Schizosaccharomyces pombe: one gene and its partners. Changing the gene in region 3 together with the main gene of any one other region gives a genetic interaction. Each region holds a gene or a part of one and is shown on either strand. Other genes may lie near its edges. The genes, in order: ppk14, irc20, mug123 and pzh1.

The links.
Region 1: mutations in mug123 (region 3) and ppk14 together harm fitness more than expected from each alone (negative genetic interaction), as found in Schizosaccharomyces pombe (one large-scale study listed by BioGRID).
Region 2: mutations in mug123 (region 3) and irc20 together harm fitness less than expected from each alone (positive genetic interaction), as found in Schizosaccharomyces pombe (one large-scale study listed by BioGRID).
Region 4: mutations in mug123 (region 3) and pzh1 together harm fitness more than expected from each alone (negative genetic interaction), as found in Schizosaccharomyces pombe (one large-scale study listed by BioGRID).

What each region holds. Positions count from the first base shown.
Region 1 is NC_003424.3:768,670-773,166, reverse strand, and holds ppk14 (serine/threonine protein kinase Ppk14), read right to left. Parts: upstream 2,628-4,497; 5' UTR 2,545-2,627; coding exon 844-2,544; 3' UTR 501-843; downstream 1-500. Other genes in the region: tRNA 4-demethylwyosine alpha-amino-alpha-carboxypropyltransferase Trm12, read left to right, coding at 1-494; SPOM_SPAC4G8.04 (GTPase-activating protein), read right to left, coding at 3,077-3,355, 3,419-4,497.
Region 2 is NC_003424.3:4,656,813-4,665,616, reverse strand, and holds irc20 (ATP-dependent DNA helicase), read right to left. Parts: upstream 6,521-8,804; 5' UTR 6,362-6,520; coding exon 3,040-6,361; intron 3,021-3,039; exon of another isoform or gene 3,000-3,020; coding exon 2,734-2,999; intron 2,696-2,733; coding exon 2,496-2,695; intron 2,454-2,495; coding exon 2,413-2,453; intron 2,373-2,412; coding exon 2,074-2,372; 3' UTR 1,774-2,073; downstream 1-1,773. Other genes in the region: AP-3 adaptor complex subunit Apl5, read right to left, coding at 1-818, 870-1,031, 1,072-1,230; ornithine decarboxylase Spe1, read left to right, coding at 7,599-8,804.
Region 3 is NC_003421.2:696,401-701,567, reverse strand, and holds mug123 (protein mug123), read right to left. Parts: upstream 2,784-5,167; 5' UTR 2,531-2,783; coding exon 1,823-2,530; 3' UTR 1,504-1,822; downstream 1-1,503. Other genes in the region: TATA-binding protein-associated factor TAF6, read left to right, coding at 1-18, 177-1,403; RNA cap binding protein cbc3, read left to right, coding at 3,169-3,388, 3,441-3,693, 3,816-3,963; rml2 (mitochondrial 54S ribosomal protein uL2m), read right to left, coding at 4,485-5,167. UniProt on the Schizosaccharomyces pombe protein: Involved in sporulation and has a role in meiosis.
Region 4 is NC_003424.3:1,526,147-1,532,202, reverse strand, and holds pzh1 (serine/threonine protein phosphatase Pzh1), read left to right. Parts: upstream 1-2,430; 5' UTR 2,431-2,691; coding exon 2,692-4,239; 3' UTR 4,240-4,638; downstream 4,639-6,056. Other genes in the region: U3 snoRNP protein Utp14, read left to right, coding at 1-890; SPOM_SPAC57A7.07C (homocysteine methyltransferase), read right to left, coding at 1,088-2,014; rnf13 (RING finger protein), read left to right, coding at 6,054-6,056.

The DNA of each region.
Region 1 (4,497 bases), on a different chromosome or scaffold from region 3:
GTATAGGGTACTTTACATTTTCTTACGTTAAAGCGGGAGCTTCAACAGTTTTTTGCTGGGAAATTAATCCATGGAGTGTTGAAGCGTTAAGGAGAGCTGCTTTGAAAAATGGCTGGTCTATTTATGTAGTTCGAAATGGAGAAAACTATGAATTTAAAGTAGGAACTCATCGTATTGTAGTTTTTTTGGAAAGCAACGTTTATGCAGCTGAAAGGTTCTCCAAAATGAATATTTCTGCTCGACATATAAATTTGGGAATGCTCCCCTCTAGTGAAAAATCCTGGTCAACCGCTACTTCAATTTTAAAGCGAGAATCACATTCCTTTATACATGTTCATGAGAACGTAAAAGATGAAGATATCGAAACATACTCTTCTGAAGTGAATTCATGTTTTTCAAAAATGTTGGCTAAAAATACAGTTTGTGTTACAAATTGTGTCAAATCATTTTCACCACGAGTGTCACATATCGTTTACGATATAGAGACGGTTTAGTTAATGGTAATTTTGTTAAGGTGGTTTTTGGTTATTTTACAAAATATGTTATTAGAATGGTATATGTTATATTCTGTCTAGAAGTTTATTTAACTTCCTATTGAAAATAGAGAAAGCATGTCTGAATCTGGTAAAAGTAAGGTAGAAAAAAGAAAGACTTTGTGGTGAAAAGGAGAATCTAGTTAAGCGAAATATTTTGTGCCTCAACAACGTATCAATATATGCAATGAATGAAGTCAGCAAATGCTCTTTTAATAATGGATTGATTAAACAAAAAGATGAGAAAAATATCATAGACGTGCGAAAAATTACCATCAATATGCAAGTTACAGGAAGAAAAGAAAATGACCTAATCCCACTCATGATGCACAGTAACTGAATTAAACGATTCGAAGGGATCATCTCCATGATCTGCACCCGATAAATTAGATAGGGGAACTTCAACTGTTTGTGTGTTTTGGGGAGAATGAGTAATATCCAAACTTTTACTTTCCTTTAGATGGGAAATATTAGGATTGCCTTTTTCATCAATAGGGGCAAGCTTTGGAATAATCGGAGGCTCAGTGTGCCTTAATAGAGCCCATTGGACATTTTTAAAAAAAGGATGAAGCTTCACGTCTGCAGCACCAGCCTGTGACCCAAGGCGATCATTTTCATCTTTCACTAATAATTTTCTAATCAAATTCTTGCAAAGGCTGGAAATTGAAGGAGCATCCGCATATTCAGGGAATATAACATCCTTGTGTAAAATATTCGAAAAAGTCATGTTTCTATTTTTACCTTTGAAAGGAGTCGTGGCATATAGCATTTCATAAAATAAAATACCCAAAGTCCACCAGTCAACAGCGCTTGTATGACCACAACCCTTGATAACTTCTGGAGCAATATACTCTTCTGTGCCGACAAATGAATTTGTGCGAAAATCTGCGATACATGATTTTGTATCCAATGCGTAAGCATTTTGAGCGGATGGTGCATTCCTGGCCTGAATTACCGTTGGTGCACCGGCAGAGTTTGATTGTTTAGATAAATCAAAATCAGAAAGCATAATATGTCCTGACTCATGCAACAAAATATTTTCAGGCTTCAAATCTCTATAAATAAATCCCATCAAGTGGAGGTATTCTAATGCAGCGGTAACTTCTGCAATGTAAAATTTGGCCTCGTTTTCTGATAAACAACGGCCAGGACGTCGTTGCAAAGCTCGAAAAAACTCACCTCCCATACAATACTCCATACATAAATAAAGGTATTCATCAGATTGAAAAGAATGATAAAGTGTAACAATGAATGGGTGGTTACTTGTCGCAAGAATGTGCTGTTCTGCAAAAGCTCGTTTGCTTTTGTTGCGTTTAATCATTTCTTGCTTACTCAAAACTTTCATGGCATAAAATTTGCCAGACTTTTTTTCTCTAACAAGATAAACTCGACCGACATCTCCCTTGCCAAGTAGAAAAACCTTTTCAAAGCTAGATGGACCAACCTCAACATCACATATCTTGATAGAGTTGGAAGAATATGTTCTCGCTCTCGTTGCAACAGTTTTCTTAATATGAGCCAATTCTTTTTCCTTCCCATGAGGACTGAAAATATCTTTTAACTTTTCTCGCTGAACTGAGGTATCAGCACCATTACTACGAGAAACATTTCGCGACTTGGGAACATCTTTCTTCTTCCTCCCACTTTTAAAAAACGATTTTTTTATTACGGAAATTGAATCAGTACCACTCCCGTCACCACCTTCTGCGGAACTACCAGTGCCATCAATTTTGCGATCAGACTCTTCCTCGGTCTGCGACTCAGGTGCACCAGAAGGTGATTGATTTGCAGCATCGCTATCTTCCGACGTCAATTCTTTTTCCTTCTTTCGAGAAAAAGCAAACTTTCTGCTATCCTTAAAATGCAGCCTTATGAAGGCTCGAAACTTGGATGGCTTGGCAGTGCCGGAATGTTTCCAGTGTCCTGTGTCATCTTTCTTAGCTTCTTCTAGGTGATCTTCAACATTGATCCTTCCTTCCTCAGAGCTCTCACCATCATGAAGTTCATTCATTTGCTTTTGAAAGTGCTACGAGTCGGTCGCAATACAATTCAATTCCACTGATATTTTTGTGTATGGCGGAAAGTACACCGGATGACATTACTGAGACACTGACACTTATGATATACTAGAAATATAACCGACTGCGTTATCGATCGTTGTACCTCACAAACCGTAAGAGCAATGTTTATATAGCATACAGGAAAATATATGAAGAGCAAGAATCTGTCTATGTTTATTAAACCAAACAAATCAAAAACTATAAGTGAAAGTTATGCATGGATTGCCTAGCTTCATACAAGAGTTTTCAAAAAAGATTTTACATTCTATACTTCCAAATTATAATGAAATGGACTCCTGAAACAGCATTAAAATAACCCAGTCATAGTATACAGTGATGGAAAACATTAAAAAATTATATTCATGAGTAACCCAACATAAAAATGAATAAGATGCCCATGAGGCAACAAAAAGCTTTTTTATTTATTAAAGATCATAACTTACCAACGATCACGAATCAAACCAGTAAAACAAAACAAAGAACTCAATAATTGACCGCTAAGTTTAACGAAGAAATAGCCAAGTTACGTTTCCGTTCAATACTCTTTTCCGTAACAAGTTTGGACCACCGATCAGCAGCCTCTTTAATAAACGAATCGGGTTGAAAAGAGTATTGAACCAAATCACTCAAAAATGAGTAGATGGCAGAAGAGGAATTGCATGCTAAAATTTGTTGCTTTAAAGATTTTAGAATCGTAAGTGCAACTCTAAATAAGCATACATAACCATCACAAAACAACATGTCAAATATTCTAAAAGATATCTAAAAAAAAGTAGTTAGTAAACAATTCATACTTTAATAATCTTTCAAAACCACTTATCGTACATTCGTAGGGAGTGTATCAGTATATACACTTAAAAACCAATGAAATGAAATGGCGTCCAAATCAACCCCAAGTAATTCTAAATGGGAATAGATTTCCGGTAATGACTCTTTCACAAAGCTTTTCAAAACCAGCTGATCAGCTCGCGAAGTCATCAGGTCAGGAGTAAAGTATTTCGGAGGTAAAACGTTTTCAATTATGCTCATTAGCATATAAAACGCGTCTTCTTCTGAAGCATATAATAAAAGAAGAAAGGCACCAATAACATTCATTCCTTGACAATAGCCTATGTGTGGATTGTGGCGGCTATAAGCAACTAAAATTCGTCGTAATTTCGGGATTCCAGGTCCTTTTCCTCCAAAAAATACATTTTTAGCCATAGTCCTGTTAATATCCATATCGATTTGCGCAACACTCGCTGATTCAACCTCATCAGTACGTGATAATAGTTCTTCATAATAGCCAGGTGAATGTAATTGATAAGCGCCTGAGCACTCTAACCAAACTTTAGCTTTATAGCACAAAGGAACACCATTTTTCACAAGTTCACGAAATTTATGCCATCTTTTTTTACCATGACGCCCTTTAACACCTATGCTAGATATTCCTAGTAAACCAATTGTATCCTCATCGGTAATTTTATATTTTTTGTACAAGCGTTGAAAAAACAAGCTCCAGTTTTTTTGTCGGGTACTTTCTTTCATATCCAATAAAATATCTTTTTTATTTAGCAACAATGGAGAATCGTTGAGCCCATCTAACTCGTTGCCAAAAAAATCATCAACCAAGCCATAATTGCTTTCATAGAACGACAGAGTCTGTTTCTGATTTAATTTTATGTCCTCCGGACATAAAGGGGTGTCGTGACTTGGTCGTTTTTGTAAAAAACCAAATTGATCGAGAATTTCCTTGGAATTATTATCTAAATAATCTTTCCAATCATTTCGCATTGAGGGCGGCTGGGTTTCCTTAGGAATCATATTTCCCAACTCCACAGAACCAATTGAAGGCATCGAAGGTGCTGTTGATGAAAGAGAAAGAGGCTTGTTATTTAAATTTGAGGTGCTCAATAGCTTGCTAA
Region 2 (8,804 bases), on a different chromosome or scaffold from region 3:
ACTGCTGATTCATCCGACGAAACGATTAATTGGAGCATTAAAGTTTTAACGATAGTACGGATATTTTCTTTGTTAACAATTTCGTTAACAAGGTCTAAAGCTCGCAAACGAATTGAAGTGTCAGTATCGACCAGACATTTAAGAATGATGTCCAATTGAGCAGAAACAAGGGAAGGATGCGTATTTGCAAGCTTACGAAGACAAAGAAGAGCGATGTATTTTAAATTCTGATCAGTGTCCTCAAAAAAGCCGCGTAATTTTGAAGCACAAAGGCTTGCCAATTTGTCGCATTGAGAGTGACCCACAAGCATATTACCGGAAACTATTGTGTTGATACACTCATATAAAAGTGACATCGCATGTGTATTCTCAATAATGTCTGTCAAAGAAGGAATCAATTTCTTCACCAATCGAGGTTCATATGGAGTCAAGGAAGCAAATAATTTGATAAGCTTTATGAGCATCCAATTATTTGAGGAAGTTGTAAGAAGATGGAAAAGATCAGGAGCAAACTCGAGGTAATTTTTAGGAGCTCTTCTCGCTAATTCACAAATTACACTGACAGCAGCATTTACAACGGAAGTGTCAGGGTCGTCTAATCGTTCACGTAATTTTGGAATGCAAGCTGAAATAGCTTCAGGATACTGCAAGCATAGTCGATATAGGAGTAAAATTGTACGTTTCCTTACGTACGGTACGGAATGATTTAAAAGAATCAATACGTCTCGGTATAAATCACGCGCAAGGCCTAATGTAGAGAAGTGTGAGAGACCGTCAATGGCCAGAGTAATTTCTGGAACTTTAGAGCTCATTAGATCCTAATAAAACCGTCAGCTTTGTAAATACTTACAGATTAAAAAAAAACATACCTTCTTAAGCAAATTAGTCGTTAACATTAAAACGTCTGTATCTGGTTTAAAAGACTGGACAGCAGCTAGATACCCTTTCTGCTTCTGAAGAATTTTAGATGAAGACATTACCTCAACGATTTGGAAACTGGCCCAGCTAATATCCACCCCTAACATTTCCAGCTACTTTTGTTAGTAACTTTATAAATAAAGTTGAACGAACATATGCAAGCTTTAAGATTGCTTCTGATTTAAGATCTGCATCCTGCGATGTCGCTTCTTTTCGACATTCTAGTAAACAAGTCGCAATAAATGCTTCCTCATCATTTGCATGAGATCTTATCCCTTTAATTAGGTCAATTAGTGTCCTTTCAAACACCATGACAATTTATAATTCAACAGTCAGTTAAATATATCCCAAAGCCGGCTTTATGCAGTTTGCTCTCTTAAGACTATATCGCAATGTATCCTTGACGAAAAGGAATTATCGAGCTGAAGCAGCAATCGTTAATTAGTTATATCGCGTAGCAGTGAATTAGCTAACGCAGTTGAGAAAAATAAATTGCAATGAGTTTTATTAATAATTATTGTAATTTGATATAAAGTATGTCTCCAAAGATAATCAGTGTTATTTTAATAGTAATAAACAATTTTGTTTAACTATAATTGAATATGATGCTAAAAGAACTTACGTTTCATAGTTCAAATAGTCCTGTTCATTTTTATTAAAAAAAAAAAGATAACTTAATAACAACGAGTGTATATTCGTAGCACAAACGTATGTTCATTCTATAGTTATAGTTATAAATTAACATCGCATTTAATAGCCCAGTAACATCGCTGATATCAATGAAAAACAAAGACAATATGTTTTAATCCAATACCCAGAATGAGAAATGCGACCTTTCTTGCTATATTAATTTCTAATATTTACATAGGTTTGTATTTAAAAAAGTGGTTATAATTAATACAACAGTACAATGTTAAATTAAGTATAAGTTTCCTGTAATTCGGACTCTAAGTGTTTGCACAATCTAACCAGTGAAAACCAACTAATGCTTCGTGCTTTGCTTTAATAACAGATGAATAATTGAACAGTATTGAGCGAAGGGGTACTTCAGGATTAACCATACATCACTGTCACCAATAAGTAGTACAGTATTGCCGTTTATTCTGTTTAAACCTGACCTATCAGCATCATTCTCTAAAATCAATTTTTTCATGTTCATGAATCCTCTGTGGTGAGCCGCTTTAAAGCCATTTTAAGACAATCTTTAATTTCTGCGGCATCAACTTGTTCTCCGCCGCTGCTAGCTTCAGTAGTGCGATTGATATTACCAACTAGCGGTACATCCAAACCTAGTTTGTCAAGCTGCTCATGTTTGGTCAATGAAAGATTTAAAATATGACCTTCAACAGTATCTTCCACAATGTAGTAGTAAACAAACGTCGGACGAGTTTGCCCAATTCGATGAACGCGTGAAATTGCTTGCATTTCAATTCCACTATTTAGTAATGGTTCACCTGTCAATGTTAAAACTTGTTAATACAGATATCGACGTACACATGAAAACGTGAGTGGCATTTGTTAACGTCAAACCAGATCTAATGAAGATTAGAACAAATAATTAAACAGTTTAAACATACGATTGCGATCTTGCATGTAAAGTAAGTACTTGTAAGCTACGTTCTTCTTTAAACCTTTTTAGGCAAGTGTTCTTTGACTTTCCATCAAAACGTATGAAGACGATACCATTCGCTTCAAATGACTTGTGCAAAACATCCAAAACATCAAGCCATTGAGAGAATACAACAACTTTAGGATAAAGTTCGTTATGTTTCAAATACTAAAGTTAGATCCACTCTAAATACAAATGTTGCTTACCAAAAGATGTTTAGATATTGTGTCAATTTTTGATCCAAATGACTCCTTTAACTCCATATTAGAAATTTGCCTGTATGCTTCATCGTCGAGAATTTCAAGCCTTTCGTCTCGTTTGTTGAAACCAGTGACAAACTCTTGACGAGAGTATATATCCCTACTTTCGCCAATATAGTAAGCATTATTTTTGTTCAATTTGGTTTTGCACATTGGACACGACGAACTATGCTTCAACCACGCTTCCAAACAAAAACTACAGTACAAATGGCCTAACAAGTTAACTAGATAAACGATCCAACAAATACTTACCACAAGTTGTTATAAAACCTTGCTTAATTATATCACGACAAATTATACAAATCTGATGAGATTCAGCTTTAAGGACAATATGTTCATATAGGTTTGTTAAATACCTTCTCCTTGATTCGAAGTGAGCAATTTTACGTTGGGTATTGCTTTTTTCCTCTTCTAGCTCTCGCAGCAGATGGATATGTCCAGGTATATTCATTTCGGATATTTTTTGATTGACGAGTTCTGCTACGTTTGTTGTTTGACTTGCTTCGTCCTGCTTTTCTGAAATTTCTTTTTCCAAAATCACCGAAGCTTTAATTATAACAGAGTTCAAAAATTTTTGTTTTTTTTCGTCGTCTTTAACGTAATTGTTTAAACTGATATTTGAAACGGGAGGAGGCATCAAAGAGTCAGAAATTTCCTGCAGCTGTTTATAGTACTCAATCCTTGAATTATAAGTCAACTGAATTATACTCAATTCTTTTTCCAATTTTTGGCAAATTCTAGATTGCTCCTTTGCCATTGCATCAATCCGTTCATATTCTTCCATGTTTTTAGAAGTTTCAAAACTTGAGGTGGATCTATTTGATGCATCTAACAGTCTTGAAACTATATTTATTAATGATCCGTATTGATCTGCTTTTGGCCTTGCTTCTTCCCTTTCCTCAAAGTAAAGCAAATATTTTTTATCACGTTCTTCAGCCTGCTTGTCTAACGATTTCTCCGATTTTTTTATACTCTCTATAAGTTTGTATTTCTCAAGTTCTGTTTCATGAGACACAAAGGTATTAATAGTACCGCTGACTGCCGCTACTCGATCTGAAAGCATTTGACGGTAAACATCAATACAATAGGATATCTCTGATTGCGCATTCAATGATTCTTCGTATTCATCGCCGGTCGGATCCGATTCTTGATCCAGAAGTGGAAGTTTCATCAAATGGATAAGCCGATCTCTAAATTTTATAAGCACCTCCTTTTGATCATTCAACTCTTTATAAAGTCTATTATAGTCTTCAATTATACCATGTCCGGTTATGAGACCTTTTGCGTAAGATTTCTGTAATCGTGGTATTTTGACAAGTTTCTTTGGAATAAATTTTTCTGAAAACTCTTCAAGGTGCTTGCTGGTTTTGATAATCACATCACTCATAATCTTCCTTCTTAAATCCTGCGCGAGCAAATAAAATTCATTTTCAAACTTTTCGTTTTTTAAAGAAAAATAAGCGCTTGCTATAAAAAAGTATATTTTATGCAATAGAACATACCAAACACGCAGATGAATGAAATGATCCAAACCAAAATAATTAATCGGTAAATTTTTACCATGGTCCTCATATTTAGAGTTGTAAATAACATTTTCTAATTCTTTGACAGCGAGCTCGACAGGTATTCTGACTTCAGACCAAATAGCCAATGCTTTATTATAGTCTTTAATATGATCATATATTTGACCAACAATAATCTTATCGGAATAAAGCTTCCTGTTTAACGAGGAGAATGTAGAGTTTGTTTGTTCCAACATAAAAACTAATACATCATTAATGCTTTTCATGGGTCCACCTCCAAATGCGGATTTGTTACCAAATCCAACCTGCGGATGGCAACATGCCTGTCGTAAACGAACCAACCAACGCCTCATAGATTCTTCGTCACACAAATCCAAATTTCTGTCTTTGAAAAAGTGCAAAGACTTGGCCGCCTCTGATAATAAATCCTGGTAGTTCGTTTCTTCTACTACACTAAGTCTTGTAGTCATGCAGATTCGATGTTGAGGAGGTAATTTTAATTCTTCTTCAACGTCCTGTTTAGAATGTCTGCATACAAGGGAGCCAAACAGATCGCAAAATTCACGAACACGTTTCTTCTCTATAATTTGCATCCAAGCTTGTTTTTTGTATAAATACATAGGGGAGTAGCGAAGAAGAAATAAAAGGCCAAAAAGGTCATCAACTTCACTACGTACGGGAGTTCCACTTACAGTCCAACAATTGACACGAGGTATGCGATAAATCATTTGTGCGACATTACTCTGTGAAGTTTCAACCATCTGAGCTTCATCAACACAAATTCTCCACCAACATACATCAATCAATGGAGACTTTGGAGAAACATGTCGCTTTTCATGTCTTAAGGTCCTGGAATGAGATTCAGTGTACAATAGCTCAAACCGTAAATCAGAATAAGATGTTACCACTATATCACAATCCAAAAAAATTTTAGCTGATTTCAAACCATTGGATTTTCGGATTCCTTGGTAATGGAATACTTTCAATGATGGCACATGCAAATCTATCTCAGATAACCATTGATCGAGAATTGTAGAAGGCGTAATTATTAGGGTGGCCTTGGAATACTTTACATTTTTTCCGACGACCTGATCGAAAGTACAAGTATCAGTCAAAGAAATTGGCAACTGATGATGCAAAACTAATCCTAAGACTTCCAAAGTTTTTCCCATGCCCATTTCATCGGCTAAAATGCCTCCACGTATATCACCGGACGCAAGCAAATATGTTTTTTCTTTCGAAAATGTCATATAGCCGTAAACATGATTAACGTAAACCATTCGATCATCAAAAAGACTTTTGCAATGGTACCATAGAGGTGGTAAATCATTTGAGGTTAGGAATTTCTCTTCTTCTCTTCGTTTCATCCATTCTAAAACACGCATTTGAAATGGTAAAAGTTCCGAAGAAAGCCTTGGATCGCGTGATACATTGGCGAAACGTAGGCTTTTTGCCAATTTTCTTGCACAATCGTAAAATAGTGCAGTGTTAATATCTAAACAAGAATATTCCTCATCTTCAGACGGAAGGAACGTATAGTCTAGTAAAGCAGTGTATGAGGAAGATGATCCAGATGAAAGAATCGCATCTTGAGGGGCAAGAAAAGAGTCGAGTATGGAAATGCCAAACGACAAAATTAACTCGGATCCTTTTACAGTAACATAAGATGTGTATTTTATAATTTTCTTCAGCCGCCTATTATCCTCCCAAAGCTTACTCCAAATTTTGAGAGGTGCTTTTAAAGCAGAGTAAGTATCCTTATTCAAGTCGACAGAAAACAAAGGAATCAAGTTTTTGGCCAATGAAATTTTTCTTTGAGTAAAACTATATGCATGTAGTTTCTCAGATCCATCAACCCAAAAAACGACAGGATAAATAGTAGACTTTAGCCGATTTAACTCGTCCTCTGGTCCACGCCATATCTGCTGGTCTAGCTTGAGTTGGTGCTGGAATGCACGGTAGCAATTGGCGAAATCACTTTCCAAAAGGTTGTTTCTTTCATTTAGTAAGGAAGCCTCCTTCTCTATTTTTCGCCTCTTAGTTCGGTCCATAATGTTCCCTCTCTTAATTAAATACAGTCGTGTTTTGAACCAATAGACTTAAAAATTTTAGAATGAATAGAATTCTTTAATGTACAAAGAAATAAACGAAAATATATAAACCCTCAAGAACACAAAAGGGTAGGCATTGTGTTATGTGCTTTTGTTCTTAGTTGTGGGCAAAAAGTGTCTTGATTAAAACATGTGCCACTTTTTTTTTGCTAAAGCTTGCAGAGTCGAATATTACTTTGGTATTTTTTCCCCACCTTTCTTCCCTCTTTTTTTTTTTGGTTTAAAAGTACGACAAGGTAAATATCGATAAATCGTTTGTAAGGGAATTCTATTATTCACGGTTGAATCAGTACAAACACGAATTAGAACTCAAAATTACCTAAGAAATAACATCTACGTTAATTAGTAAGTAAATTGTAAATACTATTAAAATTACCGATACACTTAATATCTCATTTGCTGGCTAAAAGAAAGAGCCCTTTTTACTCGGTATTGTACAAACACACTATTCCTTATTGCTAAAACACTGTGCTCATCCTTTAAGTATATATCGATTACCAAGTTTAATTCAATTAGCAAAAAAATATAAATTCTAAATAAAACGTAAACTGGTAGGAAAGTTTTTAAAAGTGATGTCACCTTCACTGGACAAAGATTATTGTTATTGTCATAAACTAAAGTACAAAATATAAACTAAAGATTGTATACATATTAAAGAAATATCCTAGTTTGAAGGATTCTTGTCGTCGCAAATATTGTTAAACCAAACTGCGTTTACCGTATTACATTGCAATTCGATTTGTTAGACTATTATGTCAATAAGACAAACGCTAAACTAAGGTTAATTCTACTAGTGTGTAATATTTTTTTATGTACGCACACATTGCAAAATTGAACTTACCCTTAACCAACAACACGATTGGGAATTAGCAGAAAACAGTGACAAGTGGGTAAGAAAAAGAATCTGGAAGGATAAACGCTCTTTTTGCGCGACCACCAAAAGTATATAAAAGTGCAAATTTCCGTCTACGTCTCCTATTTAAGACAATCTCTCGAATAAGGACTTTTTGATCAACAGCAGATTTCAAATCATTGATTGATTTGAAATAGTAAAATTATTGTAAAGCGAGCAGTTGACAAACAAAACGTTTGTTTAGCTTGTATCCGAAGAAAAATTATTCAACGATTCAATTTAGTGATCTCGGAATTTCTAGAAGAGAAAAAGCTTACTTACACGATGCCTGCTATTATGGAAAAGAATATGCTCGTCAGCGAGTCGTTGCGTACGACGGAATTACTTGGCCATGTTAAACCAATTGACTCAGTGGTGACATGGTCTTCGCCTGGATCGTCTCGCCAGGCGATTGGTGAGGCGTTTAAAAACACGATTGAGGAAATTGAGCGTGCAGCTGTCCGTGGTGAACCCGCTGACTCTGATGCATTTTTTGTTGCTGATTTGAACGGAGTATATCGCCAACTTCTTCGTTGGCATGCTAAATTACCTCGTGTTCAACCATTTTATGCAGTCAAATGTAATCCTGATCCTAAGGTACTTGCATTGCTTAATAAATTTGGAACTGGTTTTGACTGTGCTTCTAAGGGTGAACTCGAACAAATTCTTGGCTTAGGTGTATCCCCTGATCGAATTGTATACGCCAATCCTTGTAAAGCCATAACTTATGTGCGCTATGCTGCTTCTAAAGGCATTAATCTGATGACTTTTGATAATGCCGATGAGCTGTACAAGGTGAAACAACATCATCCCAACTCACGTCTTCTTCTTCGTATTTCTACCGATGATTCCAATAGTCTTTGCCGTCTCAGTCTAAAGTTTGGTGCTTCTCTCGATGATACTGGTAAGCTGCTAGACATCGCAAAGTCCCTGGAGTTAAATGTCGTCGGTGTTAGCTTTCACGTTGGGTCAGGAAGCTATGATCCCTCAGCATTTTTGGATGCTATCCAACGATCTCGTCAGGTATTTGATCAGGGACTTGAAAGGGGATTTAATTTTGACTTGTTGGACATTGGTGGTGGTTTCATGAATGACAGCTTTGATGGCGTAGCAGACCTTATTCGCTCTGCCTTGGATACTTATTTTGATCCCTCCATCCGTGTTATTTCTGAGCCCGGTCGCTTTTTCGTCTCTTCTTCGTTTACTTTGGCTGTCAATGTAATTGCCAAACGGAAGCTTGATGATGAAGAGAAGGTGATGTATTACGTAAACGATGGTGTTTATGGTAGCCTTAATTGTATTTTGTTTGACCATCAACATCCAGTTGCTCGAGTTCTAAAGTGTGGAAGTCGGTTTGTGTACAATGATTTGGTTGGCACCGGCCAACATCGTTGTTTTATTTGGGGTCCTACTTGCGATTCATTGGATGTGATAGCTAACGATGCCCATCTTCCTTATGAGCTCAACGTCGGTGACTGGATATATTTTGAA
Region 3 (5,167 bases):
ATTCATCAGGTGGTTCAGGTAGGTTTCGTGAAAGTAGACTATGAGATTTTACTTTCTTTGGAAGAGGCTAAAATAACTAAAAAATTGTTGCTAGTTTTTTACGATGCCTTTCAATTTGCTAGATAGTCTGCTTTATTCTGACATTAAACATAATTCTCTAACAGTATTTGATTTAGGAAGCCACTAAGTTTATGGTTCATTCTAAAAGAACTGTTTTAACTAGCGCAGATATCTCTTCAGCGTTACGGACGTTGAATGTTGAGCCGTTATACGGCTTCAATAATTCTCGTCCATTAGAATTTCATGAAGCCGCTGTAGGTGCAGGCCAAAATTCCCTTTACTACCTTGATGATGAGGAAGTGGATTTTGAAAAAATCATAAACGCTCCTCTCCCTAAAGTCCCTAGAAACATTTCTTACAGTGCACACTGGCTGGCCATCGAAGGTGTGCAGCCAGCCATTCCTCAAAATCCAACTCCCTCAGATCACACAGTTGGAGAATGGGCATCCAAGGGTACTTCAGGGGTTATGCCAGGTGCTTCAACTGCTGCTAAAGAAGCTCGAAACGGTGTCACTTCGATGGACAACGTTGAGATAAAACCGTTGGTGCGACATGTGCTATCCAAAGAGTTACAGCTTTATTTTGAGCGTATTACCAGTGCATTGCTTGATGAAACTAATGTTGAGCTCCGTGATGCTGCCCTATCGAGTTTACGTGACGACCCCGGATTACACCAACTTTTACCATACTTCATAATGTTTTTATCGGATTCTGTAACTCGAAACTTAGGAAATCTTGTGGTTCTTACTACTTTAATGCACATGGCCTGGGCCCTTCTTGATAACCCCAACCTTTTTGTAGAGCCTTACGTCCAACAACTCATGCCATCCATCCTTACTTGTTTGGTCGCGAAGCGCCTTGGCAGTGATCCTAATAATCACGAGCATTATGCACTAAGAGACTTAGCTGCTTTTTTACTCGGGATTGTTTGTGATCGATTTGGTAATGTGTATTATACATTAAAGCCTCGCGTTACTCGCACGGCACTCAAAGCATTTTTGGATAACACCAAGCCATATTCCACTCATTATGGTGCCATCAAAGGCTTAAAAACTATGGGGAAAGAAGCTATTAGAGTCCTCGTCGTTCCCAATATCAAAGTTTACGAAGTCCTAGTTCGGAAAACCTTGGAAAAAGGAAATGAAGAGGAGATTTACGAGGCCAATAAATGTATGGATGCTTTGTACGACGCTTTGCTATTACTGCGGGATGATCAATTACCAAATCAACGAACTCTTCCGCCAAATGCTAGTGGTCTTCTTGAGAAGAACGTTGGCAGTTTAATGGCTGAAAAGATAATGAAGGAAAACGATACCTCATTGCTTCTTGGTCTGCTAGAATAGTCTTCGTTGGGCATAAAATATTTGTTTTTGAACAATTTAATCTATGAATCTCGGACTTTAAAATATTTACCCAATTTTCCACACTACCTAAACCATTATAGGTTCTATAATTAAAATGTTATTGATATTCATGTTACATTAAAACAGGAAGCACCGAATAGCTTTCAAATGAATAAAAATAGAATGATGATAATATTGATATAGTTTATTTCATGTTTTGATTAAAGATGTGAGACTAGCTGACAATGCCGGGTTTTAAATGAAAGAAATACGTAATAGAACAGAAAGGGGAAGGAATGCTTGATTATGCCAAAGAATGCGAATAAAAGTAAACGAATTAAAGCAATTAAACTAGGTGAGGGAATAGCACCATAATAAATAATAATACTTTATCAGATATCGATGGAAAAATAACTGCACTAATCGCTATCGAATTCATCATTGTCCCCCATATTTGTGATTACTAGACGTTTCATTCCTTCTTCAGCACTGTCCTCGTCTGAAGATTCAGAACTGCTGCTTCGTCGATTGACAAGATAAGATTGAATATCATGAGTAGGTGATCCGCTACGAGATTCAAAGCCGTCTGATTGAGTAGTTTCGGCTCTGGAGTCTGCTCTTGAATGTATTGACATTCCCATAATGGAAGGTGCAGTCCCACTATGGGTTGAGCTGGCACGTGAAGACTCAATCATTGAGATATATGTTGGTGCAGTATTCGATGTCGAAATTACCAATTCGTCCTCATCGTCATCCTTACCTTCGGTAGCAGATAATCGTGGAGTAAGAATGGTGTGCTGAGGAGCCATTGTACGTGAATGAAGCGAAGCAGGACGGGTGTGATAAACACCATGATGCTGGCTAGAAAATACCCTTGAGCGCATGCCTCCTAAGCCTTTGCTGGAAGACTTCCCATTTTGTGATGAACTTTTGATTGATGGGCTAGAGTGTAAAGGAGCCACACGGCCTATATCACTCCAGACAGTCGCCTTTGCACGGCGTAAACTCTGTACGTAAGAAAAAGTAGAACCATTTGACTCATGGTTGCTATTAATGGCATTCGAAGTTGGAAGGGAAGACCTCGAATATGGATCATCATGGCTCGATCGAGTAGCTAAACGTTCCATGCGATTAGTCTTCTGTCTAGTAATGATTATTATCTATTTATTCCTTCTTTGAATAAGTTGCTTGTAGAGTAATTCCAATTAATTTTTAAAAATTTCACAGACAAATGCCGGGATTAGAAAACGAATGGTGTTAAGATAGACAATCTTTTATTTGATTAAGCAATCAGCTAAAACTAATTAAACAAAGCTCATATATCTTTGAAAAGCGCAAGAATTAATGTTTCGTACTGAAAATTGCAAATGTGCGGAAGCTATGTTTACATGTCTCATTCTCGAACATACGGTGTCCCAGAGGTAAATCTTATTAGGTTTTACTGTAATATCCCATAAATTTCTGTAAATAACAATACGCAATTCAATGTGCTTTAGCGTACTGTAGATTCTTACACAAACGAGCCTTACATGCAAAAAGCCGATTTAATCTCCATTTTCCTTCTTAATTTTAAATACAAATTACATTTGACTTCCGATCTTCACTCATTATAGGAGACTGTACCGATTACATTGCCTATAGGGATCTTTCATCTCTCGTTATTCTCGTATAGCAAATTATAGCGCGTCGTAATTTTCTTTGGACGGCACATTCACTCTTTTGGAAACTGCATGTCTGCGAAGCAGTTGTAGAGAAGTAGATTTAAATGGATATCGTTGCAGAGACTCAGATTGAAGAAGAATCATTGATACCCGACGCCACTAGTACTCCATTAGAAACGGAAGTGGTGGCTGATACTACATTGCGTAAAACAGCTTTACATCTAGCTGGCGTCGATAATCTTTCAGAAGAACAAGTCAAAGGATTTATTTCAGCTTATGCTCCTGAATCTCAATGTACAATTGAATGGATTAATGATAACGAATGTAAGAAGCGAAAACTGGCAAAGGGTTAGTCTAACTCTATAACCGCGTATAGGCAACGTTGTTTATGCGGATGATGATGTTTCACGAAATGCTTTATTTCATTTAATTATGGAGTCTCCGACAGAATTTTCAGAGGAATTGGAATATCAAACGAAACCACACCCAACTGTACCGACGTGTCAATTCAAAATACGTTACGCCCGCTACGGAGACAAGAAGGTTAAAAGCGCACATCTTTACTCGAGATATTATCTGTTTCACGGTGATCCTCGAGAAGAAAAGGCTCAGAAGAGCAAATCTAAAAGGTATAACTTGTGAAAACCAAATTAGTCCGGGTGCACTCATACTTTTCAAAAATCATTTCCTCTACTTTTGAGAATCTCCTTTTACTCAATTTTATATTCAAATTACTAACACTTTCGCACAGTAGAAATCAAGATGAAAGGGGTTCGCCATTAGATGAACGACTAGGTCCTAAAGTGTCTGACCTTACACTGATGGAAAGAATATTCCAAGTTCGACGCAAGCCACGCAAATCAAGGAGAGACCGTCGTTCCAGGGTTTCCAAGCGTTAATTGTGTTGTAGAGAAATATTAAATACCCAGTTTATCCGCTTTTAAGTCGCTTTTCGCTGGACGAAGGCAAGAAAAAATTAATATGCTAAATTAGCTACAATTTTATAAATAAAATTTTTTTATTTAGTTGGCCATATTAAAATAAAACCGTTCTTTTCTGCGTTTAATAGAATACTCTTTTGGTACCTGAATGATATCGATAACCCTTTTAAGGTAGATGTAAGCAAACGACAATTTTGAATGGGATAGTCCTTAGCTTTAAGCAACGTTGTGATGAACAAAAATTACCAATACAGATTTAAATTGTAAGAGCTAAACTCTTAAAAAATGCTTAAAATTTTTCGTCGATAAATGACGGTCGACACAAAATAACTATACATAAATGCATCTGGTCCACAAATGGATAGGTAATAGCATCGACTATTAAAATGGAGAAGGGATCATGAAAATTGAAATGCATTACGGTAATGTAAAACATAGAAATGTAAAAGTCATGAAGACAGAGATCATTAATAAAATGATTACCGCTTTTCCTTTCCACGAGGACGATCGCGGACGAGTAATTTATTAACATTTTTACCTCTTCTTGTTTTGTATCCACCTTTAGCCAAAACACCCCAAGGAGATTGAGAAGGTTTATTACCAATGCTTTTACCACCACCACCACCATGTGGATGGTCACATGGATTCATAGCTGTACCTCGAACCGTAGGACGAATGCCAAGCCAACGTGAACGACCGGCTTTACCAAGCTGGCGATGTTGCCAATAAATATTGCTTACAACACCAATGGTAGCAAATGATGTATCCAAAATCTTTCTCTCTTCACCACTTTGTAGACGAACGATAGCATATTTACCATCAAAAGCTATGATACGAGCGCTACTGCCAGCAGAACGACATAGCTTTGCCTTTTGATTTGGATTTACACCAATGGCATGAATGACAGTTCCTATAGGAATTAATCTGAGAGGAAAACAATTTCCTGGCTTCAAATTTTTTGCTGCAAAAGTTCCATCTTCAATTTCAGCAGCTAGGACGGGGTCCATTTCTACTGGCTCGCCATTAGAACCAGTCTTCAAAAGCGATCGAAAGCTCTCAACTGTATCGCCTTCGCGAAGCCCGTCACAAGCCAAAATATAACTTTTGTTGGCTGTTTCGGAATTCAATTTTTCAACAAGGGCAATGTGACCACTTCTACCAG
Region 4 (6,056 bases), on a different chromosome or scaffold from region 3:
GGAATAATACAGGCCGTCGTTCATTTAAGCCTTCCGAAGAAGCTGCAAAATTATCTTTGCCATCAAGGAAAAATCCCTTTGTTTCTGATTCAGCGGTGCTGAAAGTCAACAAACCGGAAATGAAGGAAGGACAAAAGAAGGCCGAAGCTCGAAAAAAAAAGGAATCACCATTAGAAGCAACTGAGGAAACTAATCCATGGTTGCAAGTACCTGACCAAAGGACCTCTTCTGCCAAAAAGTTGGATAAAAACAGCTCTAAGGCAGACAAAAAGAATCACAAGTTAAAAATGGACAAAGTTGCCTCCCTTCAAGAACTTGTCGAAGAACCTAAAGTTCAGCCTGATTTAATTTTTGAAGAAAAGGCTTTTGAATCAGCGTCGGAAGCGGAATCGGATGTTGATGTTTCGGTACCTATGTTAAAGCCAACCAAAGGTCGTTTGTCAATTAAGCAGAGAGAGCTTGTTGCTAAAGCATTTGCTGGCGACGATGTTGTCGCTGAATTTGAAAAGGATAAAGAAGACTGGGTTCAAGAGGATGCACCGAAAGAAGAAGATCATAGTTTGCCCGGTTGGGGTTCATGGGGAGGTGTTGGCGTAAAACAAAGAAAGACTAAGCCTAAGGTTAAAAAAATTGCTGGACTAGATCCGTCAAAGCGGAAGGATTCTAAGCTAAAGCATGTGATTATTAATGAAAAACGCAACAAGAAAGCTGCTAAGCTTACTGCTGATAGTGTTCCGTTCCCATTTGAATCACGAGAACAGTATGAACGATCTCTTAACTTGCCTATGGGACCAGAATGGACTACTCGAGCTTCACATCATAAGGCTGTTGCTCCCAGAGTTGTTACCAAACGTGGTAAAGTCATTAATCCTATTAAGGCACCTAATTAGATTCTTATATGTACATTGAGTTTTGGATTTTTGTTATTAGATTGATATCTTTTGCAGTAGATTAGATACATTTGTAATGGATTTTGGGATATTGGGAAGAAATATATATTTTGAGGTAAATACTTTAAACAAGAAAAAAATTAATTCAATACAAATATATTAATATCATGAGGAAAATTAATTAAAATGGTTATAATTTACTTCGTTTTCTCCCGGAGTAAAGATAAGTGATTATAATTTGTTTCACAGCATCCACCGAGTATCAGGTTTCCATTATGTAGATTTGAGTATTTAGCCGTTATAGTTGACCATTCTTCAGGTGAAGGGGCAGGATGATCTGTTGAGCCAGGTGAAAAAGTACCGTCTGGATTTTGATACAACCCGCGGCCGTCAGGGTACAAAATAGCAGTTATGTTGGATGGTAAAAGACTGGATAGCATTTTTGCGATGGGTTCGAGTAAACTGAGGTGAAAGCAATTAACACCGATGCCCCATATAGAGTCATGATTGATGCTCAGTATCTTGGAGATAATGGACGATACTCGTTCAATAGTGCTGCGCTCAGGGCACGTACAGGTGATCCAGCAACGCTTAGACCAACCTTTCATATCTTGAATGAGTTGGCATACTACTTCTGCTTCAGTCACGTGAGGAAGGCTTTCAAATGCAATGAAGTCAATTTTTTCGAAAGCTTTAGGATTAGATGCTTGAATGGCTTCAATTCTGTTTTTATGAAAATTGTATAGCATTTCAAAATCGGTGGGTTTATCATAAATCATTTTGTATTCCATACATCCAGGAATAGTAGCAGCATGACTTCCGAGACATAAAGCAATATATTTGTTGGGCAAACCCAAATGTTCTCTAGCATAAACAGGTAACCCAATGCTGTTTGCGTAAACCTGTTTTAATGGTACACCTTCTACCTTTTCGTCGTAGATAGAAGCATCCAGTTGATAAGTGAAAGTACTAATAATGTCGCAAACTTTTAAAAATTCTTCATGATGCTTAACAACGATCTCTGGATAACGCACCAGTGCTTCAGAGGTCCATAATCTAGACTCAGATATACTTTCAGGAAGCTTTGGAAGAATGGCAGTAGAGCCACCGTCTAACATAAGCATTTTGGAAAACTCAAAAATTGGGAAAAATAGTTCAACGAACAGCAAAAATGGTATCTCAGGTTATACACTAGTATTAACAGATGTAACTGCCTTTTGATGGATATTACAACAGTTTAGAGAATATCGCACAATCAGAAACCCAATCGACCCAAAACAAAAACATTTGAGTAAGAATCAGACTAGTATATAACGTAACGCGAAATTTTTCCATATTTAATTTAACGTTAATTTACGTGGATCAATTGCGCCTTTTATTTTACTTTGGAATACACTGCAGTTATTATACAGTAAGTGCGCCATCATCGTTGCACCACACTAGATGGACCCAGCGAGTTCAGTTCTCGAGTAAGATGGAACGGGCTACTACGTCTATCAGATTTATACTACACTTCCCATCACTTGTTAACCCATTCTTCACCACGACCTTACAAATTTTTAAACGATTGTGTTTTGTCAGCAAAGCAAAACATTTTTATAGACCAGGATTACTTGAAGAAGAGAAAATCTACTAATTTACGGAAAATATCGAAAAATAGAAAAAATCTAGGTACAATTGGGAAACCTTTTAATTTTGGCACTAAATGCAAGCAACGAAGTCTCGATTTTGAAGTAAAAAAGAAAATAAAAATAGAACAAAGTGGAATAGTTTCCCGGAATCTACCATTAATTGAAATACAATGGGACAGGGGAGCAGTAAACACGCCGACAGCAAGCTCGATTCCTACCCATCCTTTTCTCGGTCAGACACTCAAGGATCCATTAAGTCTTTAAAGTCTCTGAAAACAGTCCTGGGGAAGGGCAAAGACTCGAATCATGATCGCCGAACGTCTACTGATACAACCCATAGTCGTCACCGGTATCCCGAAACACCACCAAGCCTTCCTCCTCCTCCTTCTCCTGGGATATTAGCTACATCTCCGGCTGTGTTGCAAAAGCATCAACAGGAGGATTCGGGAAATTCTTCTCAATCTCCGACGTCGCCGCATCCTTCTAACCAGCCTGCCATGCTTAGTCCCTCTACGGCCGCTTCCCAGCATCATCATCATCATTCTTCTTCTTCTTCTTATGCCGTTTCTCCAACATCACCTACCTCACCAACCAGCTCTGGCCCAATTGGCTCCAACTTTGATTCAGCTTCTGAGCATAATGGTCCTGTGTATCCACAAGATCAGCAGGGGCCCGTAATTATCCCTAATTCGGCAATTTCTTCTACGGATCCTGATGATCCTGAAACAGTTGTTAGCCTTAACGTAGATGAAATGATTCAAAGATTGATCCATGTTGGCTATTCTCGAAAAAGTAGTAAAAGTGTGTGTCTAAAGAATGCTGAAATTACCAGCATTTGTATGGCCGTACGAGAAATATTTCTTTCGCAGCCGACACTTTTAGAATTGACCCCGCCGGTGAAAATCGTTGGTGACGTTCATGGTCAATATTCCGATTTAATTCGACTGTTTGAAATGTGTGGGTTTCCTCCGAGCTCTAATTATTTATTCTTAGGCGATTATGTCGATCGTGGTAAGCAGAGTCTTGAAACCATCCTCTTGCTCTTTTTGTACAAGATCAGATATCCAGAAAACTTTTTCTTGCTACGGGGCAATCATGAATGCGCTAATATCACTCGCGTTTACGGTTTTTACGATGAGTGTAAAAGACGTTGCAATATCAAAATTTGGAAGACTTTCATAAACACCTTTAATTGCTTACCCATTGCGTCCGTTGTAGCCGGTAAAATTTTTTGCGTTCATGGTGGTCTTTCTCCATCGTTAAGTCATATGGATGACATACGGGAGATTCCTCGTCCTACTGACGTTCCTGACTATGGATTGCTGAATGATTTGTTATGGTCAGATCCTGCTGATACTGAAAACGATTGGGAAGATAATGAACGAGGTGTTTCTTTTGTTTTCAACAAAAACGTTATCCGGCAATTTTTGGCCAAGCACGACTTTGATTTAATCTGTCGTGCTCACATGGTTGTTGAAGACGGTTATGAATTTTTTAATGACAGAACTTTATGTACGGTGTTTTCTGCCCCTAATTACTGTGGGGAATTTGATAATTGGGGGGCCGTGATGAGTGTTAATTCAGAGCTGCTTTGTTCCTTTGAACTTATAAAGCCTCTCGACCAGGCAGCAATTCGACGAGAATTAAAAAAGAGCAAGCGTAGTGGTATGGCTATTTATCAATCTCCCCCTGCTGAGCAGGTTACCCAAAGCGTGTAAGCATTCTATTTTTTCTATTTTGGTCTCCATTTGAAATTATCTAGCGGTTTTATTGGGACACTATTTTATTCTCTTAAATGAGTATTATCTGTTATTATGTTATAGTCACTATGGTGATGGATCAAGTCCTTGGTTCACTTTATCGGTTCGAGGGCAATTCCATCCTGACACGTTTAGTATAAGTTTCTGTTTCTTTTAATAAAAACACAATCATTTCCATATAGTGACAGTTAACTTGCTTTTTATTTTTGCTAACCGACACCTGCTGAACATCGAAAGAGTAGGTAAAAAATTTACATGAGGAGGAAATAAACAATTATTATAGTATTATTATTAGCATTAAATAAATTTAAAGCGAAAATGTATCCATTTCTTTGTAAATCTTCTATCAATTACTAATCTCCCATACGATGGGCTTAAAACAACACTTTGAAAACTAAAGTTGAATGTGGTATCGTACTTAAGTACTTCTTTCCATGATCCATTTGTGATAAGTATTTTGGTTTCCTTATTGTATAATGAGTAAGCTACTTTTGTTGCATAATGCTGCCAAGTAGGCAGTTCTTTGATAAATCTCCTGCGTTGTTTTGTTTGTGTCAGCTTTTTCGTTCAATCAAGATATTTTATCACATTATTTCAAGGTTCAATGAATCATTCGAAGAATAGTAACGAATTCAGATATATTAAATAAAGGCACACATAATCTCTAAAGATTACAGTTTAATGGCTCTTTCAAAGTGTTTAGTAATATATACACTAAATTTCTAAAATTCAGTAGTTATGGCGAAGTGGCCGAGTGGTCTATGGCGCTAGCTTCAGGTGAAAGCAATTGCTAGTCTACGTATGTGGGCGTGGGTTCGAACCCCACCTTCGTCAATATAATTTTTTATATCATGTTAATGGAATTGAGAAAAAGCAAGCTGTCAGTTTATACTTTCAATGTTATGCAGAAACCGTTTTATTTCAATTATTTACACTGTTTGACACTACTAAAGCAGAGTTAATTGTAATGAGACATAACGGTACATGGTGCTTCGACTTTCATAACCATTAAAGAAAAGAAGAATGTCTTGATTTTGGCTTATTTAAAGACCCATTGTGACTGGAAAAACAAATGACCCTACGTAGTAAAGGGTAAAATGAATTTTTTTTAATTTTTTTTTTAGATTCAATGTAGAAATATAATCGATTATCAGATTCATTGTCATGCCTGATAATCCATGTATGATACTATGCAAAGATATAAAGAGAATTTTCTTCTTTTTTAAAAGTTGTTTTAAAGATAGAGGATGTTGTTTTTAAGCTGCTGAAACTGAATAATATAAGAAATCTAACGAGCAAGAGAATGCTCGACTTATGTTTACAATATTATATAGCTAAATATCTTAAGTTCTTATTATATAACTTTATACAGTACAATGATACTTTTCAATATTATATAAGTATTTACCTCTTTTGATCAGATACAAAGTATCTTTCAAGAGAGCTTGTTTTCTACTGACTGTTTCGTCTTTAAAATAAGTTGATTGGGAATAAATTGTATTAATTTTTTTTATCCCTCGCAAATATCGGATTTCCTTTTGTTGAACACTGCAACTTGCCTTAATGCTGACAATGTTACTAATCAATTGAATAATCCTGGCAACTACTAGTGAAAAGGGTTTTAAAATAAAATAAAATATCTCAAAATAGCTTACGCATACCTTTTTTGGTGACTCTGTAGTTATCGTTATACAGGTGCTATATAACTAAGCGGCTTCACCTTGCGGTATCCGTTCTTCCTCCACTCTTCACGCCTTCTGTAAATTATTAATATG